Linked DNA regions of Oryctolagus cuniculus. The main gene of each other region encodes a partner of the protein of the gene in region 2 in a complex. Links are inferred from orthologs where the notes say so. Each region holds a gene or a part of one and is shown on either strand. Other genes may lie near its edges.

Evidence for each region.
Region 1: GTF2F1 (region 2) and POLR2J share a complex: the UniProt entries of both Homo sapiens proteins name them as parts of the TBP-based Pol II pre-initiation complex. The link is inferred for Oryctolagus cuniculus from reciprocal best matches to the Homo sapiens genes GTF2F1 and POLR2J.

Annotation. Positions count from the first base shown.
Region 1 is NC_091450.1:44,080,606-44,090,187, forward strand, and holds POLR2J (DNA-directed RNA polymerase II subunit RPB11-a), read right to left. Parts: upstream 6,464-9,582; 5' UTR 6,361-6,463; coding exon 6,308-6,360; intron 2,724-6,307; coding exon 2,634-2,723; intron 1,990-2,633; coding exon 1,815-1,989; intron 1,591-1,814; coding exon 1,555-1,590; 3' UTR 1,390-1,554; downstream 1-1,389. Other genes in the region: LRWD1 (leucine-rich repeat and WD repeat-containing protein 1), read left to right, coding at 76-216, 633-715, 799-954, 1,022-1,134, 1,207-1,374; ras GTPase-activating protein 4, read right to left, coding at 8,944-9,143, 9,236-9,270. UniProt on the Homo sapiens protein: Core component of RNA polymerase II (Pol II), a DNA-dependent RNA polymerase which synthesizes mRNA precursors and many functional non-coding RNAs using the four ribonucleoside triphosphates as substrates.
Region 2 is NC_091447.1:60,703,119-60,711,872, forward strand, and holds the end of GTF2F1 (general transcription factor IIF subunit 1), read right to left. Parts: intron 8,512-8,754; coding exon 8,439-8,511; intron 5,843-8,438; coding exon 5,649-5,842; intron 4,313-5,648; coding exon 4,142-4,312; intron 2,797-4,141; coding exon 2,612-2,796; intron 2,104-2,611; coding exon 1,950-2,103; intron 1,866-1,949; coding exon 1,804-1,865; intron 1,728-1,803; coding exon 1,608-1,727; intron 1,366-1,607; coding exon 1,292-1,365; intron 1,207-1,291; coding exon 1,068-1,206; intron 964-1,067; coding exon 846-963; intron 753-845; coding exon 548-752; 3' UTR 521-547; downstream 1-520. UniProt on the Homo sapiens protein: TFIIF is a general transcription initiation factor that binds to RNA polymerase II and helps to recruit it to the initiation complex in collaboration with TFIIB. It promotes transcription elongation.

The DNA.
Region 1 (9,582 bases), on a different chromosome or scaffold from region 2:
GCTGGGGCGGGGCAAGCTGGGCAGCAGGGCGGGGGCTAGCTGGGGCCAGCAGCTCCCATCTCCCCCCCCCCACAGCCAGCTGCTCACACTGGACGCCGCCTCCATCCCCCTGCGCCTCTGCCCCGTCCCCTCCTGCCCGGATGCCTATCTGCTGGCCGGCTGTGAGGGCGGCTGCTGCTGCTGGGACGTGCGGCTGGACCAGCCCCAGAAGAGGAGGTGAGGTGGGGCGGGCTCCCCGCGCCCCTGCCGCCTTCCCCTCGCCTGTGGCTGAGTGATGGAGCCCAGCCCGCTGCGCACCAGCTTGAGGCCCCTGGTGGTGGTGAGCAGGAGAGGCCCTGGGGCACATCTGCCCCTGCCGGGCACAGGCACTCGGGACAGGTGTGCCCCCCCCCATCAGCTACAGGGGACCCGCCCCAGGCCCCTTCAGAAGGGTGCTGGGTGGCATGTGGGGCAGGGAGGGGGAACAGCCTGTGGTGGGGACAGCTGGCAGCAGTGAGGCGGCATGGTGGCCTGGGCCACTGGGAGGACAGGGCAGGTGAGGGCTGGGGCGTGCAGCCCTGGGCCCAGGTCTGGGGGCGTCCGGCCCCTGGCTCTGGTGCACAGCCCTGCCTCCCCACCCCCAACACACACAGGGCGTGTGAGGTGGAGTTCGTGTTCTCTGAGGCGCCCGGGCGCAGAGTGGACGGGCTGGCCTTTGTGAACGAGGACGTCGTGGGTGAGTGCGGCCAGCCTGGGCCGATGGCTTCCCTCGGGGGCTAGGGTCTCGGGCTCAGCCTGGCACCCCCTGTTCTCCCGCAGCCTCCAAGGGGAACAGCCCAGGCACCATCTGCTTGTGGAGCTGGAGCCAGACGTGGGGCGGCAGGGGCAGCCGGTCCTCGGTGGCCGTGGTCGTCCTGGCCTGGCTGCAGTGGTCGTCCACCAACCTGGCCTACTTCTCCCTCAGCACCTGCCCAGGTGAGCACTTGCCCCCGGGAGCACCCCCCACCCCCGCTGCCCCACCTGAGCCTGCCTGTGCCTGCAGACGAGGCGACGGTGCTGTGTGGGGACGAGGAGGGCAACGTGTGGCTATACGACGTGAGGCAGCTCCTGCGCCAGCCGCCTGCGCAGCCGGCACCCACGCAGGCCCCCACGCAGGTGCGCGGGCTCCCCTGCCGGGCGGGGTGGGCTCCACGCGGGCGCCCTGCTCAGCCGGGTCTCCCCCACCAGGTCCTCAGATGGCCGCAGCCCTGGGCCTTGGGCCAGGCCGTGAGCAAGACCATGGTGAACACGGTGGTGGCCGACCCCACCTTCAGCTACCTCACGGCGCTGACGGACTCCAACATCGTGGCCATCTGGAGGAGCCGGCCGCACCCCGGCACCACGGACACCGCCTAAGTCACTGCGCCTGGGGGCTTTTTACGAGTATTTTTATTATTAAATTCCTCCATTGTAGACAGCTCGGTAGCCATGCGGGCCCCACCCTGCTCCTGGGATGCGACCCCAAGCCTCTAGAAGAGTGACAGGCCGTCCCCACAGTCCACGCGGTCCCAGGGGCCCGGGCAGCTCCTCCAGCCGCTACTCGATGCCCTCCTGCTTGTCCTTGATGGCCACCTGTGGGGAGGAAGAGGGCAGGTATTGGGCGGCCCCCGCCTGGCGCCCCACAGGAGAGCCGTCCCCACACCTGCTGCTGCTCCCAGTCTATGCTGTCCTAGACTCGGGCCCTGCCGTGGGCTGGTGTGACCCAGACAGATGCCTGGAAGCAGCCCTGAGGGGCAGCAGGCCGCCCCCGGCCTGGTAGGGCACACGTCCCAGGGACTGCTGGGGCCCCGCCTCACCCGGAAGCGCTCCTCCAGCAGCGAGAGCTCGCTGATGAGGTCGGTGATGGCGTTGGTGAAGGCCTCCTGCGGGCTGTAGTCGGGGGTGGTCTGCACGCGGATGATGATCTTGTGCTCCAGGGGGTGGGGGACTTTATAGCCAGCAAACAGCACCTGCGGGTCCTTGAGCAGCTGCCTGGGGCGGGAGAGAGGGCGCGCTGAGGGCTCCCAGGCGGCGCCTGTGCCAGCTGTGTGGCCCAGGGTGTTCCCCTACCGGGAAGACACTTGGAAGAGGAGGTGCCGTGCGTGCCCCGCAGCGTTAACACAGACACCGGCCCAAGCGGCGGCGGGAGAGGCCTGGGCCCTGGGCACGCGAGGACACACCATGGGCTCGCTCAGGGGGGGCACTGCCCAGACTCCTGCCCCCAGCCTCTGACACAAGCTGGGACGGGCCCGCCTTGCTGGCGCCACCTGCAGGGGAGGGGCGGTCACAGCCCTGGCTGCCTACTTGGCTGGGACACGGGGACCCTGGACAACCACACCGTGCCTCTGCCACCTCCCCTCGACGTGAGAGTCTGTCACAGGGGAGGAGGGGGGCCTGCTGGCCCGGGATAGACAAGGGGTGGGGTGCATGTAAGGGTCAGTGTCATCTGACGACCAGGGATGAGCCGCGTCACGGGCGGGGCCGAGAGGCTGCTAAGTGCCCTGCGGGGCAGCGCCAGGGCCTCGAACCCACGCGAGGGGCAGTGCCTGGGCTGCCACCGGAACAGGCAGCGCCCCCGAGCGGGTAGCCCTGAGGGCAAGGCCAGCCCGCGCGTGGGCCCCTGGCCGGGCACTTACGATTTAATGATGTTCCCGAGCGTGTGGTCCTCCTTGTTGATGGTGAACAGGCACGCGTTGGGGACCTTGGTGTCCTTGTTGATGGTGATCCTGGGAGGAGGCGGAGGTGAGGCTGGGGCAGGGCCTCCTGCCCCCCAGGGCACCCACGGCTCCCACCCCCTCTGCGGTGGGCTCCCAGCGGCGTGTCTGCCCCCCCCCCGACCCTGGCCACCCACCCCACAAGGCGCCTTCCAAAGCAGAATACTCAACCCCAGCACTACCTGTGCTTCAGCCCTGATGAAGCTCTCCTTGTAGGAGAAGGGTGTTTTTTTTGTTTGTTTTTGACAGAGTGGACAGTGAGAATTTTTGCCGTTGGTTCACCCCCCAGTGGCCGCTGTGGCCAGCGCACCACGCTGATCCAATGGCAGGAGCCAGGTACTTCTCCTGGCCTCCCATGGGGTGCAGGGCCCAAGCACTTGGCCCATCCTCCACTGCACTCCTGGGCCATAGCAGAGAGCTGGACTGGAAGAGGGACAACCGGGACAGAATCTGGTGCCCCGACCGGGACTAGAACCCGGTGTGCCGGCGCTGCAAGGCGGAGGATTAGCCTAGTGAGCTGCGCCAGCCGGAAAATATTTTTAAAACTGCTTTTTTAAACCTTTTTTTGGTCTGGTGTTGGGGCAGTGCTGCAGCATAGGAGGCTGAACCTCCACCCGCAGCACCGGCATCCCATACAGGCCCAAGTTCAGGTCCCAGCTGCTCCACTTCTAATCCAGCTCCCTGCTGTGGCCTGGGAAAGCCCTGGAAGATGGCCCAAGTGCTCGCTCTCTTTCCCTCTCTGTATTCTACCCCTCAAATGTTTTTAAATATGTGCTCAAGTAGGGGCCGGAGCTGTGGGTTAACGCTCTGGCCTGAAGCGCCAGCATCCCATTTGGGTGCTGGTTCGAGACCCGGCTACCCCACTTCCGATCCAGCTCTCTGCTATGGCCTGGGAAAGCAGTAGAAGATGGCCCGGTCCTTGGGCCCCTGCACCCGTATGGGAGACCCAGAAGAAGCTCCTGGCTCCTGGCTTCAGATCGGCGCAGCTCTGGCCATTGCAACCATCTGGGGCATAAACCATAGGATGGAAGACCCCTCTCCCTCCCTCCCTCTCTGTGTGACCCTGACTTTCAAATAAACGTTTTTAAAAATGTGCAAGTATTATGTGTCAATTAAAAATGTTAAGGGGCCAGCACCTGTAGTGTCAGCATCCCATATGGTTCGAGTCCCGGCTGCTCCACTTCCAATCCAGCTCTCTGCTATGGCCTGGGAAAGCAGTAGAAGGTGGCCCAAGTGCTTGGGCCCCTGCACCCACATGGGAGACCCGGAGGAAGCTCCTGGCTTCGGACTGGTGCGATTCTGGCCATTACAGCCAACTGGGGAGTGAACCAGCAGATGGAAGATCTCTCTCTGCCTCTCCTCTCTCAAGTAAATAAATAAATCTTTAAAAAAATAAAAATTTTAAAGCAGCGGAAGAGTCCATGGGAGCTGGTGCTGTGGTGCAGTGGGTTCAAGTCCCGGCTGCTCCACTTCCATCCAGCTCTCAGCTGGGGCATGGGAAAGCAGTGGAAGATGGCCCAAGTGCTAGCGCTCCTGCACCCGTGAGGCTCCTGGCTTCAGATCAGCCCAGCCCGGGCCATTGGGGCCATTTGGGGAGTGACCCAGCAGATGGAAGACCTCTCTCCCTCCCTCCCTCCCTCTCGGTCTTTCAAATTAAAAAGTCCATGGGAAAGGAAATACAAAAGGCGCTGTGTAGGCCGGCGCCGCGGCTCACTAGGCTAATCCTCCGCCTAGCAGCGCCGGCACACCGGGTTCTAGTCCCGGTTGGGGCGCCGGATTCTGTCCCGGTTGCCCCTCTTCCAGGCCAGCTCTCTGCTGTGGCCAGGGAGTGCAGTGGAGGATGGCCCAAGTGCTTGGGCCCTGCACCCCATGTGAGACCAGGAAAAGCACCTGGCTCCTGCCATCGGATCAGCGCGGTGCGCCGGCCGCAGCGCGCCGGCCGCGGCAGCCATTGGAGGGTGAACCAACGGCAAAGGAAGACCTTTCTCTCTGTCTCTCTCACTGTCCACTCTGCCTGTCAAAAAAAAAAAAAAAAAAGGCGCTGTGTAAACTAAAAACACGTTCATACCAGAAGCCACAGCGTGAGCACCTGTGATGGTAATGGGTGCTTCATAAACACGTTGCTGTGGCACAGGTAAAGCCACCTGCAGTGCCCGCATCCCACATGGGCGCCAGTTCGAGTCCCAGCTGCTCCACTTCCAATCCAACTCCCTGCTAATGCGCCTGGGAAAGCAGCGGAGGACGGCCCCAATGCTTGGGCTCCTGCACCCCCATGGGAGACCTGGAAGGAGCTCCTGGCTCCTGGCTTCAGATCGGCTCAGCTCCAGCTGTTGCGGCCACCTAGATAAGACCTAACTCTGCCTCTCAGATAAACTTAAAGAAAAAAAAAAAGGAGAAAGAAAGAGAGGCACAGAGAGGGACGCACACAGGTCTTCTCTCCGCTGGTTCACTCCACAGATGCCCGCCACAGCTGGGGCTAGGGAGACGCTGAAGCTAGGAGCCCACGAGAGAGCCAGGTCTCCCTGGGCCATCACCTGCGGCTTCCTGGGAGGTGGAGCAGCCAGGGCGGGAGCAGGCACTCCCCCCGCGCCACAGGCCCGCCCTGGGGGCTGCACGGCGCCCGGGGCGCCCGGGACCACCACGCCTGCTCCCCTGGTTGCTAGTCTGTGCCCAGGGAGGCTCGAGCGGCCGACAAGGGTCGCACCCCAGCCCCCGCACCCTAGGCTGCTCAGACTCGGAAGGCATTGCCCCCGCGAGAACCCACTTAACCTCTCCCTGTGCTTAACCACAGCGCGCGTGCAAGCAGCCCATTTTTCCAGGTGCGCACAGTGCGCCTCGGCCAGACCCAGCCCACACCACCGCCTCTTAGGATGACCAGGCGTTCCCGGAGCCAAGCCAGGGGCAGCTGATGGGACAAACAGGGCACACTCAGCGGCTACCACCTCTCATCACGAAGCCGCAGGCCCCAACCGCGCACCTGCGCCCTCGGCGCAGCCCCCGAACACCCTCCTCCTCGTTCAAGCTCCACCCGCGGCTGACCACGGAACGCACGCAATCCACGCCACAGCTTCCTAGACGCGCGCGAAACCCTCCCCAAGCGACTTCCCCACGAGCGAGACCCGCAACGCCTGCGCCCCTCGGTTTGGCCAAGCCACAAACACTCCTTCCCACGCGCAACCCCAAAGCCACGGTCCGCGCGCTCCCACGGGCGCCCGGCCAAGCCACGCGTCCGAGGACCACAGGGCGGGCAGGCGGGCGACCCGGGAGCCCGGCCCAGATGTGTGGCCGCCAGACCGCGGGCCCCGACAGGGCGGACCCGAGCTCCGGAGCCCTCGCGCAGGCCGCCGCGTGGAGGGAGGACGCGGGTGGCCGGCCGGACGCCACAGGGACGCCTGCCGGGGCCCCGCGGAACCACAGCACTCTGCAGCAGGACACTTTGCAAGTCCCCGCAAGTGCCGGCGTGCCCAGGGCACTGCCCCCCTGGGCGGACCCAGGCCGCTCGGACACTCGAACACTTCCGACCCCCGAGCCCGCAGGACACGCAGGAGCTGCGGGCCTCGGCCCGACCCTCCGCCGCCCCGCCGGGCTCCACTTACTTCTTCTCTCCCTCGAAGAGCAGAAACGACTCGAAGGCCGGAGGTGCGTTCATCCTGGCACCGCGGCCCGCCGGCGACTAAACGGCCGCCGCCACCGCCTCCAAACCCGACCGCGCGACTGCTTCCGGGTCACGCCGGCGGCGCCTACCGCGCCAGGACCGGCTCACTGCCCCCTAGCGGCGGGGAGGAGCTAGCGCAGGCGTGAGAAAAATTTTCCCCGATGCGCTCTGCGCGTGCGTCAGCCCGGAGGCCACGCCCCCGCCGCGCTCCACGCCTGGGCCAGGGGGCGCGGCTCTGGGGGTGCAGGCAGTCGGAGCGTTGCGCTGCCCGCTGGGTCCCGGCGAAGCGGGAAGCCGGAGCTACGCCTGTCTCCGCTGTCCATGCTTCTTGATCTCTTCTTTGGAAATGTGCCTTGGAATGCACCGCAGCAGGCCCCGGCACAGATACAGAGCCATGGGGTAGTAGGAGGCCGTGGCTGGGGGTCGAGGAAAGTCTTGTGGTCAGAGTGATAGGCGTGGACGGCCCCTCCAAGGCACCTGGCCAACAGCCACGAGGCCCTGGTCACCGGCGTCTTGTTGGCGGGGGCAGCTGGGTGAGCGCTGGGAGGAGCAAGTGCGACAGGTGTGACAGGGGGGTGGAGGGATACAGGTGCACCACCCCGCCTTGAGCTCCTGATTGGTGCCGAAGGCCCTCCCGGAGCTGTTCGGCCAACAGGGACTGGGGGCTCAGAGCAACCACAGGGACCCTGGTTGCAGCCTGGAGCCCCCACGGGAATCGCATCTCCCTGCGCGGGGGCGGAGGGGGGGACTTAGTACCTGGGAACTGCCGCTCTGCCCGGGGCCCGTGGGTAATGAGCCACGCCCTCTCGGCTCATCCTGAAGACTTTAGGACGCTGCCCTACGGAGACCTGGAGGTGACGCCTGGCCAGGGTCCAGAGCAGGGGATTCCCCCCCACCATCCTGGCCACCACCATGGACGGCTGCTCTCCTGGGGGAGTGCTGACCCCACTCGCCGGAGCGGCACACCCCCAGACTCTTCTGCAGGTCCATGTGGGGTGCCCCACGAGGGGATGGTGTGACCACAGCCTGGAATAGCTGGGCGAGGGGCACAACTACACAGTGGCCTGGGCCCCGGCATCCCGTATGGTCGCCGGCTCGTGTCCCGGCTGCTCCACTTCCAATCCAGCTCCCTGCTAATGCACCTGGGAAAGCAGTAGTAGATGGCCCAAGTGCTGGGGCCCCTGCACCCATGTGGGAGACCCGGATGAGGCTCCTGGGTCCTGGCTTCGTCCTGTTGCGGCCATCTGGGGCGTGAACCAGCAAATGCGCTCCGTCTCTCCTTCTAACTCCAACTTTCAAATAAATAAATCTTTATTTAAAAAAGAGAGATGCACATGGGCTAACAGGTGAGGAATGGATGGATGGATGGATGCACTGTGTTCTCCGTGCTGCTCTGGGAGGGAGGCTGAAGGCTGTGAGCACAGGGGGCGGGGTGGGGCAGGGAAAGGGGGTGTTGGGGTGAGGGAGCCGGCTGGCTGAGCCCCGCCGGGAGGCGCAAAGCCCCCACCCACCCTGCACTCGGGCTGACTGTACAGCAGGCAGTGGCCCTCTGCTGGTCATCGCGGGGTGGGCGCAGGGTGTAGCCTGGGCACCATGGGGTGAGGGACACCTGCTGTGTGACCCAGTGACGTCATCCTGCCCCAGGAGGCCGTGGGGGCTCCAGGTGGGCAGGGGGCAGGGCCTGGTGGGGGAGGAGGCGCTGGCAAAGCCCCAGAGGAACCGACCAAGGGCAGGCAGGCCAGCTCCCAGGATGTGGGCCATGGACTGGACTCCACTCTGGCTGACAGTGGGACCAGCGTGGGGACCCCTGGTGATGAGGGCACTAGACAAACCCCAGGGCTCAGGGATGGGCTGGGGCCGGTCGGGGGGGGGGGTGCTGAAGGCCCTGGGGGTGGTGCCTTGAGCTGAGTCACTGTGGACACAGCTGGTGCCCACCCTGGCAGCGGGAGCAGACATGGCCCAGCCAGCACGCTGGGCATCAGCCCGGGCAGGTGCCGCCTGCGTGTGCATGGTGGTGGGGAGGGGTGCTCCTGCATCTTGGGGCCGGGGGCTTGGGTGCAGACAGCAGCTGGAAGGCCCACGGGCCTCTGTGGCCTGTGAGGGGTAGGGGTGGGGCCCAGGAATGCAGTGGGGACAGCAGCCAGGTAGAGAAAGGAACCCCGATCCCAAGTGAGGGGGTGGCACCGTCCTTGGGCCAGCAACCTCGGGGTCCTCTCCCTGGACCCCCATCCCAAGAGCCCAGAGCCTCGTCTGTCACGGCAGGTTTATTGTCGGCAACAGAACACTGCGACCCTCAGCACAGGGCCAGGCAGTGAGGGGAGCGTGGGGCTGGGGGCTGGGAACCAGGGGGCACTCAGGTGGAGGCCTGGTCTCCGGGGTCTGGGAGAGCAGCCCACCTGGGCAGGGGTGGGGTGGGGACCCTCCAACGGTGGCTTTGGGCTGGACTTGCCCTTGGCAAGGCAGGGGGAGGGGTGTCCCTGGAGAGCCTGGCCCGGGGCGGCAAAGACCCAGACCCCCGGAGCCGTGAGGTCGGCCATGCTGTGCAAAGCCCCGCCGGCTCCCAACTTCCAGGGCTTCTCATCTCTGGCTCCTGCACGCCAGGGACCAGGCGGAGGGCCCGAGAACACGGCACCGGGCAGGACGGTGGGGCAGGCCACAGGTCTGCACTGCCAGCAGGCGGCTGGGCTCGGCGGGCGGGGTGCTGGCTGGGAGGGCGCCGTGGGCCTCGCGCAGGTCCTGCAGGATCCGCAGCAGCCGGGCCAGGGAGCCCTCAGGGGCTGCAAGCGGAGGGGCCATGAGGGCGGGCATGGCCTCTAGGTCTGAGGACCCCCGTCCACAAGGGGTGCGGGGCTTGGGCCGAGGGACCTACCTTCCCCAGGGCCAGTCAGCTCCCGACACTTCTCCCTGTGGGACAGGACAGAGTGAGGGCCAGCAGCCGCAACCCCCGCCCCCCGCACTCCGCCAGGGCTGCAGGTGACCCAGAGAGGCCGCGGGTAGCCCTGGGGGGCGGGGGTCGACCAGAAGGCCCCTTGCTAATGGGCTCAAACCCACAGCGATAGGAGCCAGTGGTATTTCAAGCACCGTTCCTAATGGGGTTCACACAGCAAGGATGCACGGCCGTGCCCAGCGGGGCTCCGGGCTCCTTGTCCAGGGTTTCTCCTGGCTCAGCCCTCGCTGTCTCCCTCATCTGCTCTGGGAGGGCTGTGCCCCTCTGTG
Region 2 (8,754 bases):
CTGGGCAGCTGCGGGGAGCCAAGGCCATCCCCGACGACCCTGGCGCCCTGTCCAGGCCCCGTCACAGGGGCCGCGTGGCCAGGGCGCCGGCATCCCAACCGCTCTGCCTGGGGAGGCAGCAGATGGTCTGAGGACGTGGGGTCCCCACCCATGTGGGAGACCCGGGTGGCGTTCCTGGCTCCCGGCCATTGCAGCCATTTGGGGGACGAACGAGCGGACGGCAGCTCTAACTCTGCCTTTCAAATAAACAAATCTCATTATAAATCAACAGTCCCGAAGGCCGTCTGCCCGCCTGTGAACTTCATTCAGATTGCGCAGGTGCCCACACCCGCCCGCGGGGCAGCATGGGAGACGGACCGCACAGACAGCAGCCGACAGAGCGCCGAGTCAGCACCACTCGCTCCACTAAGGACGCGCTCAGGGGTCATGGGGGTGGTGCGCGGGTGGAGATGGGCTGGCTCCCAGCACGGAGGCTGTCCCCGGCACAGCGGGACGACACGACACGACACGACACGACACGCCAGGCCAGCGCGCGTTTATTGCGGCCTCACTCCTTGAGGGAGAAGTGCATCTTGTCGCTGATGAGCTTGCGCTCGGGGTTGAGCCGCTTCAGGATCTGGGCCAGCACGTTCACCGTCTGCTCGCTGCTCAGCCCCGTCTTCTTGGTCTGGAACTTCTTCAGCAGGTCCTTGGTGGTCATGGGCTTCCGCGTCAGGTAGCGGCGCACGGCGTCCTCCGTCACCTGCACGTCCCTGCGGGGCGGCGGGCGGGCGCCTGTGAGCGGGTCCCCGCGGCCCCGCACCGCCCCCCGCCCCTGCCCGCCCCCGCCCCGCTCGCCCACGTACCCGCCGCTGGGCGTGGACTTCCCCGAGGACGGCTGGGGGGTCGACTTTCCAGACAGGTTCTGGGGCCCCGCGTCGAGCCGCAAGCGCTTGGCCGCCGGCGTCTCACTCGGCCGCTTCCCTGTGGGATGGGATGGGGTCGGGGCTGAGCCTCGGGCGGGTGGGGCCCGGGCCCAGAGAGGGCAGGTTCTGACCCAGGGCCGGGCAGAGCGGCCCGGTACCCACCTTGCTCCAGCTTGCTGGCCGCCGCCCGCAGCGTGGACGAGGCGCCGCCGCCCTCCGTGCTGGGCGTGCCGGGGCGGCTGTTGCCGCGTGAGCTGCCTCCCGACGGCTTCCGCTCCCTCTTGGGGGGGGTCTTCTTCTTCTGCGGGGGCGGGGGCAGGGTGTGAGAACGCTCACAGACGCCCCAGCCCCGGCCCACCCCGGCCCCCGCCACGCCTGCGTCTTACAGCCATGAAGAGGGCAGAGGAGGCCTCGCTGTCGATGTCGCTGTCCTCGGAGCTGTCCGACTCGTCGCTGCTGTCTGCAGGGCCGGTGGTCGGGAGTCAGGCCCAGAGCGGCGCGGGACCCCTGCGCGCCCGCCCACCGCGCACGGGGGAGGCCTGGGATGGCCCCCACCTGTCCTACACGCGAGACCCCTGCGGGCGCCCGCCCCACAGCCCACGGGGGCGGCCTGCGAGGGGCCCCACCTTTCGTGCACCCGAGACCCCTGCTCGCGCCGCCCGCCCGCCCACCGCGCACGGGGGAGGCCTGGGAGGGCCCCACCTTTCCGGCGCTTCTTCTCCTGTGGGGTGGGGGCTTTCTTCTCTTCCTCCTCCTCCCTGTCCTCCTCGGGCGGCTTCTCCTCCTCACTCTCCTCACTGCTCTCGCTCTGCTCGTCGACCCCTGGGGGAGGGGTGGCTGTGAGCAGGGGGCCGCCCAGCGCGCCCCCCCTCCCGCCCCCACCCCGGGCGCCGCCTACCCTTGGGCCCCTCCTCCGGCTGCGGCACTTTGGGCTTGCCCTCAGCCTCGTCCTGGGAGCTGCTGCAAGACACGGCGGCAGGGGTGAGTGGGCGGGTCTGCGAGCGGCGTGGGGGCTTGCGGGGGTCACCGGCCTCCCCTGCTCACCTGGAGCCGTCGGACATGTAGTCCACCTCCTGGCCCTCGAAGTCCCCGTCGTCGCTGTCCTCGAAGGCCTCGTCATCGGAGCCCTTCTTCTTCTTCTTCTTCCTGCCCGCCTTGGTCAGCGGCCCCTTCTTCTTGGCCTTGGGGGCTCTGCTGCCTGCGGGGGCGGGGGCGGGGGAGGAAGGGCTCAGGCCACGGGCCGTCCTGGGCTTCCTGGTTGACGATGCGCTGACGGGGGCCACTGCACCCACCCTCCAGACGACGAGGGCCTGCTAGGAGCGCACCGCCTCCTGGCGACCGCCCAGGCCGGGCCCACAACCCAAGCCCCCTTCCTGTGATGCACACACCCGCACACGCACCAGGCCCACGTGCTGACGAGTAGGACGGCCCCCAGAGCCCGGTGTCCACCAGGCTCATTCAAACTGGCCAACCCCGGGGCGGCCACGGGGCCCAGAGTGCCCGCATCTCACGTCCGCTTGCCTGGCCTCAAGTCCGGGCTCCGGCCCCTGCCCTCACTGCCTGCTAAGTGACTGGGTAGGTTCCTGGCTGCAGCCTGGTCCAGCCTGGGAGGAGGACGCGTTCTGCCCCTGGCTGGGCCAACAGCCAGCTACCGCTAAGCTCTCCTGGGGGCGCCCGCACCCACTCAGCCCTCGCCCCAGCCGCACCCTCCTCGCCGCTGGCCTCGCTGTCGTCCGACGACATCTCCAGGTCGTCCTCCAGGTCGTGGATGCGCAGCTCGCTGGCCTTCTTGTGGCCGCCTTTCTCCTTCTCGCCCTCGCCCTCGTCCTGGTCCTGGTCCTTGAGCCGCCGCTGCTGCATGATGCTGAAGTGGTTCAGCACCTTGTTCCTCCTGCGGGCAGAGGGGCTGCTGGGTGACGAGGGCGCCCCCAGGGACTCGGGGCGCCCTGACCCCGCCTGGGAGAGCTGCCTTACCCCTGAAGCCCTCTCCAGCCCAGCGTCCACTCACAGCGCCCCCCCCCCCCCCCCAGTCTGTCTTTGTATATCATGAACGGGAGCCTTTAACAAAAAGCTTTCCCTTTATTTCAGAGGCCGAGACAGCTGCCACCCGCTGGGTCACTCCCCAGGTGCCTGCAAGAAGCCCGGCCAAAGCCAGCAGCCCAGGACTCAATGCAGGTCTCCCACGTGGCTCCCAGCCTGCTAAGCCCTCGCCGCTGCTCCCCAGGGCGTGCATTGGCCGGAAGCCGGCATCGGGAGCCAGGGCCAGGGCTCAGAGCCAGGCGCTCCCACAGGGGCTGCGGGTGCTTTCCCCGCCCTGCGTCTTTGGGCACTCGTTCAGGGTGAGAGAGAAGCCGTGACACTCACTACCATGTGGGTGGACCTTGAAACGGGCGCAGTGGGAGACACGAGGTCAAACCTCCCCGACTGCACTCCTGGGAGGTCCCTGGGGCAGTCAGATCCAGGGACAGGAAATGGAGTAGGGGGCGCCGGGGACACCTGCAGATGCATCTGTGGCCTGTGTCACCGCAGAGGCCCCAGGGAGGCGGGGCCCAGCCCTGTGGCCACACACACGCTCCAGTTCCAGTCCCGGCTGCTCCACCTCTGATCCAGCTGCCCGCAAATGCTCCTGGGAAGGCAGCAGAGGACCCAAGGACTTGGGTCTCTGCCACCCAGGTGGCAGAGATGGTGTTCTTGGCTCCTGGCTTTGGCCTGGCCCAGCCCCAGCCACTGGGGCCATTTGAGGAGAGAACCAAAGGATGGAAGATCTCTCTCTGTCTTTCCCTCTCTAATTCTCCCTTTCAAATAAGTAAATCTTACAAAAAAAAGTCACATCCTCAGATGGGCATTTAAAGTGCTCTGGGCTCTGGCCTGATGCCATGTCCCTCAGCCCACGTGCCCCTAACTATGCCCACCGTCCCCAGGGCCTCAGAGGCCCCTCCCAGAAGCTGCTGGAGGGGAGCCCCCAGGCTGGTCCTGCAGGCCTGGGGAAGACGGGGTGGGGTGGGTGGGGCACGTGCTGTTGGAGCACCCTGCCCGGCCACCCCCGGCCCTGCGCGTATCAGCTCTGTCCGTGCTGCCCCACACTGGACTACGAGCCGTGTGAGGGTGGACTGATGTCAGCCCTCCCCCAATCCCCCCCCTCCCATCCCAGCTCCCAGCCCGGGGCCTGGCCTGCAGCCGGGGTCATGCGTGTGGCTGTGCACCCTGGCCCGCCCAGGCCCGCCAGGCCCGCTCACCTCTCCCACTCCTCCTCGGCCTCCTCGGCCGTGAGCGTGCGGTGCCGGGCCAGCGGCGTGAAGTTGTACCAGTTGTGCACAGGGAAGGCCTCGAAGGCCCCGTCGGGGCACTGGGTGAAGATGTAGTAGGACGTGTTCTCCGTCACGCCACCCTTCTTGATGCCCTTGAACCTGCGGGGAGCCTCGGTCACTGCCCGGCCCAGGACACCAGACCCGGCCCCACCGGCATCCCCCATCTCCTCTGGGGTGCCTGCTGGCCCCCACCCTCCCAGTCCCGCCCCCATGCCCGGACGCCTCTGAGTGTGCTCCGGCCACCCAGGGCCCTGTGGGCCCAGGTCCCGGCACACCCTGACAGCCCCTCCCTGAGCGACCAGTTCCCCCTTCCTCAGCCTGCCCCTCTGCCCCTCCAGGGCCGGTCACACAGGTGCCCTGAGACCACACGGTAGCAGTGGGAAGCAGGGTCAGGGAGGGCACCCACTAAGTGCACAGGGCTGGGTGGGAGGGGAGAAGGGCAGGTCCCCAGGCTGGCACCCCCACTCCCCACTGCTGCGCCGGATGTGGGTTAAATGTGTCCCCTAAGATCACGTGTGGGAGGTGGGGGACCTTTAAAAGACAGGGTAGAGGGGAGGCGGCCGCCTCAGTGAGCCCCCCGACCCCCAGGGGATCCAGGAGTGCTGGCTGGAGGCTGGCTGGTAAGTGGGTGTCAGAACAGGGGTGCCCCCCCAAGGCCTGTGCACCTGCCTCCCGGCCATCTCCCTTCCCGTGCAGCTCTGCTAGGCCGTGGGGGCTCAGGGCTTCCGGTGCAGTGCCGAGAACAATCCCGCGCGGGCAGAGCCCCCGTGTCCTCCATTCTCCCGCACACCCCGCACTGGCAGTACCATGCCCCAGCGCCCCCGTGTCCTCCCGCGCGCCCCGCGTGGGCAGCGTCACGCCCCACCGCCCACCTGGCGCCCTCCCGCACGTACTTGCGGCGCCATGTCTTCCTGCACGCCCCGCGTGGACAACTCGGCACCCCACCGCCCGCCCCGGCACACCCTGACAGCCCCTCCCTGAGCGACCAGCTCCCCCTTCCTCAGCCTGCCCCTCTGCCCCTCCAGGGCCGGTCACACAGGTGCCCTGAGACCACACGGTAGCAGTGGGAAGCAGGGTCAGGGAGGGCACCCACTAAGTGCACAGGGCTGGGTGGGAGGGCAGAAGGGCAGGTCCCTGCATCTGCAGGTGTCACTGATTAGCGGGTGCCAGACCCCTGGCTCCACCTAAAGAACACCCGTTTTCTTGTCCCTTTGCGGCCCCATGACCTCCCGCGCCCCCCCCTCCGTGTGGGCAGCGCTGCGCTCCAGCTTCCCTGTGTCCTCCCGCGCGCCCCGCGTGGACAACGCGGCACCCCACCGCCCGCCCCGCGCCCTCCCGCACGCACAAGCGGCCCCGTGTCCTCCCGCGCGCCCCGCGTGGGCAGCGCCGCGCCCCACCGCCCGCCCCGCGCCCTCCCGCGCCCTCCCGCACGCACTTGCGGCCGGCCTTCCCGTTGACCCGCAGCAGCCAGGGCTGGTCCTCGGGCCGGAACTCCTTGAGCACGATGCCGTACTTCTTCCGGCGCGCCTCCTCCCGCAGCTTGCGCTTGAACTCGCTGCCCGCGCCCGACTCCGGCAGCTCCTCCTCCTGGTAGATCTTCTTGTTGCTCAAGTCCCGCTCCAGCCGCGCCTGGGGGAGCAGGAGGCGACGGCTCCTGGGGTGCCTGCCTCGGGTGGGCTGGGCCCCGGGCCGGGAACACCCACCCTGCAGTTCCCCCACGCTGAGCGGCGGGTGCTCAGCGCCAGTCGACCGCAGGGTGCTGGTGCCCCGGGAACCGCAGCAACCCGGTCGTGGTCTACCGCTACCGCTCTCGAAAACCTGCGATTATTTCCAGACTAGTTACAGGGAAAAAAATCTCTAATGATTAAAAAGAACTGGGGCCATCGCTGTGGCCCCAGCAGGTCAGGCGGCCGCTGGCGACACTTGAGTCCACTTCCGATCAGCCCCCTGCTGTGGCCTGGGAAAGCAGTGGAAGGTGGCCCAAGCGCTCTGCACCTGCGTGGGAGCCCCGGATGGAGCTCTGGCTCCTGGCTGCAGCCTGGCCCAGCTCTGGCTGTTTCGGCCATTTGGCAAAGCTGGAAGACCTCTCTGTGTGTCACTCTGCCTTTCAAATAAAGAAATCAATCTGACGGTACAGCAGCATTCGCATTAGGGCCTGTAAGTCGCCTAGAGATGCCAGCGTCCACAGGGAAAGGTGTGCAGCTCCTGGGAAACACTAAGCCCTTTACGGAAGGGACTCGGGTGTCCATGGCTTTGGGGGTCTGTGGTGGGGTCCTGGCACCAACTGCCCAAAGGCTCCAAGGGAGGCCAGGATAGGCTAAGTCGTCAATTTTATTCATTTTCCTTGTATTGGAGAGATGGAGGGAGGGGTAGAGAGGGCTTCATCTACTGGTTCATTCCACAAAGGCTCAAAGCAGCCAGGAGCCCAGAACTGCATGCGGGCCTCCCACGTGGGTGGCCGGGACCCAGGTACCTGAGCCGCCACTGCTGCCTCCAGGGTCTGCACTCACAGGAAGCCGGACTGGGAGCCTTGGCAGAACTAGATCTGGGACTCAGGGTGACACGTAGGGACCCCGAGACGCCTAACCTGTGTGCCACACCGCCCGCCTCCACCTGGTGCTATAAGAAAACCTGGTGACCCCTGACCCCTGACCCCAGGGATCAAGGATGGCAGAGCACCCAGAAGTCAGAAGGAGGGGTGCAGCGACGCCGTCAGATTCCAAGCTTACGGGTCTGGAATTCCACACCGAGCCATCAATCCTGTCAGCTGTCAGTCACACTCAGGTGACAGGAGACAGTTTCAAGGATGGGAACACTCACGGTGTGCTTCCCACAGCTTGCTGTGCGACGGGGACCCGGGGGTGCGCTTCCTCTACACTGGGGGGCGGGGGCAGCCGTCGGAGCCAGGAAGTGGGCGAGAAAGAGGCGGAATGCCCGGGGCGTGGGGGAGCGCAGCTTCCCGGATGGCCCAGGTCAGAGGCTCTGAGACGGCGAGCTGAAGGGCCTACGTCCTGACAAAGCCACCCTAACACCTCAGGGCAAACGTGCGGGCAAGCCACGCCGCTGCTTGCCACCCCAGCACCGGTCACGTCACAGCGACTGCTTCTGATCCAGCTTCCCGTTAGTGCACCTGGGAGGCAGCAGGGGTGGCCCAAGTCCTTGGGCCGCTGCCACCCACGCGGGAGACCAGTCGGAGATCCTGGCTCCTGGTGTCAGCCCGGGTGGGTCTCGTCAGCTGCTGCAGCCACTGGAGAGTGACCCAGCGGATGGAAGGGACGGAAGATCTCTCTCTGTCTCTCCCTCTATACTGCTCTGCCTTTCAAATAAATAAATCTTAAAATAAATAAATAAATAAAAAAGTCACTCTCTCTCACTCTGCCTTCCTTCAAGTAGATGGTATATTATTAACACTAGGACAACTGTAACAGTTTATCATAACAGAGGTTCGGTGAGCGTGGCCATCTGTCCTCTGAGCAGGCGGTGGGCGGGGACTGTCCAGCCCAGGCGCCAGGGCAGCCGCAGGCAGGTGGGCGGGACAGGCAACCCAATCACGAACAACAGGCCAACGGTGAGGCCGATCATCGCGCGGCCTGCAAATGATGTCCCCAAGCCCTGCCCCTGGCAGGGAGGAGACGCCCACCCTGACTTAAAGGACGCACTCCACATCCGAGTATCCACCATCGCTATCGAGTAAAACACGGGTGACTCCACGGGTGGCCCCGAGACAGCACAACGGCTGCGGGGATAACCCAGAGGGCCAGGAGGCGGCCAGCGGCTGGGTGGGCGGCGAACACAGCACAGCTCCTTGGGCCAGTGGGACTTCCTCCTGTCACTCAGAACAGCGCACGATGTACAACGCATGAACCGTCCGCTTCTAGAACCTTCTAGAACAGCCACCAATCCCCAGCCGACAGCCCTTTCCTGGCTCCCAGAGCCTCTGACGGTGGCAGCTCCGAGGCCACCTATAGGGCGCAGCCCCCAGCCCCGCTTCCTCCCCAACTCAGGTAGCCCCAGGCCCCAAAGGCCCATGGGTGTACAGGACAAGGCCTCCCGTGGGGCCTGCCAAACCTCACGGGCACCTGCAGCAGCCTGGCCTGCCCCAGCTTGGAGAGAGCTTGGAGAGAGCTCAGGGGTCCCCATTCCAGCTAAGCAACTATTACAACCGCCAAGTTCATGGTCGGGCTCTCTAAGAGCCTCCCCCAGCCCCCCCAGACCAAGGTCTTACCTGATTCCAAGTAGCGAAGTTGACTTTGTCGGCTGCATTGAAAGCCATGATGTTGTATTTTTTGGTTGTGTTCCTGGAATGGATAAGAGGCACTGCTGATTGGATCATTCATTCATTCGACAAACCCACCTCGGTTCAGTGCTTCGTGCTAGGCAACGCTGGGGACTCCCGCTCTGTCGGGGGAGCTGGCCTCCCCCTCCAGATCTCACACAGAAGAGCAGAAAGACAGCCAGCGATCGGGGGTGGGGTGGGGTGGTAATCCTGCACGCAGCCCTGGGGAGGAAGGGGACAGGCAGGGGGAGCTTCCTGGAGGAGG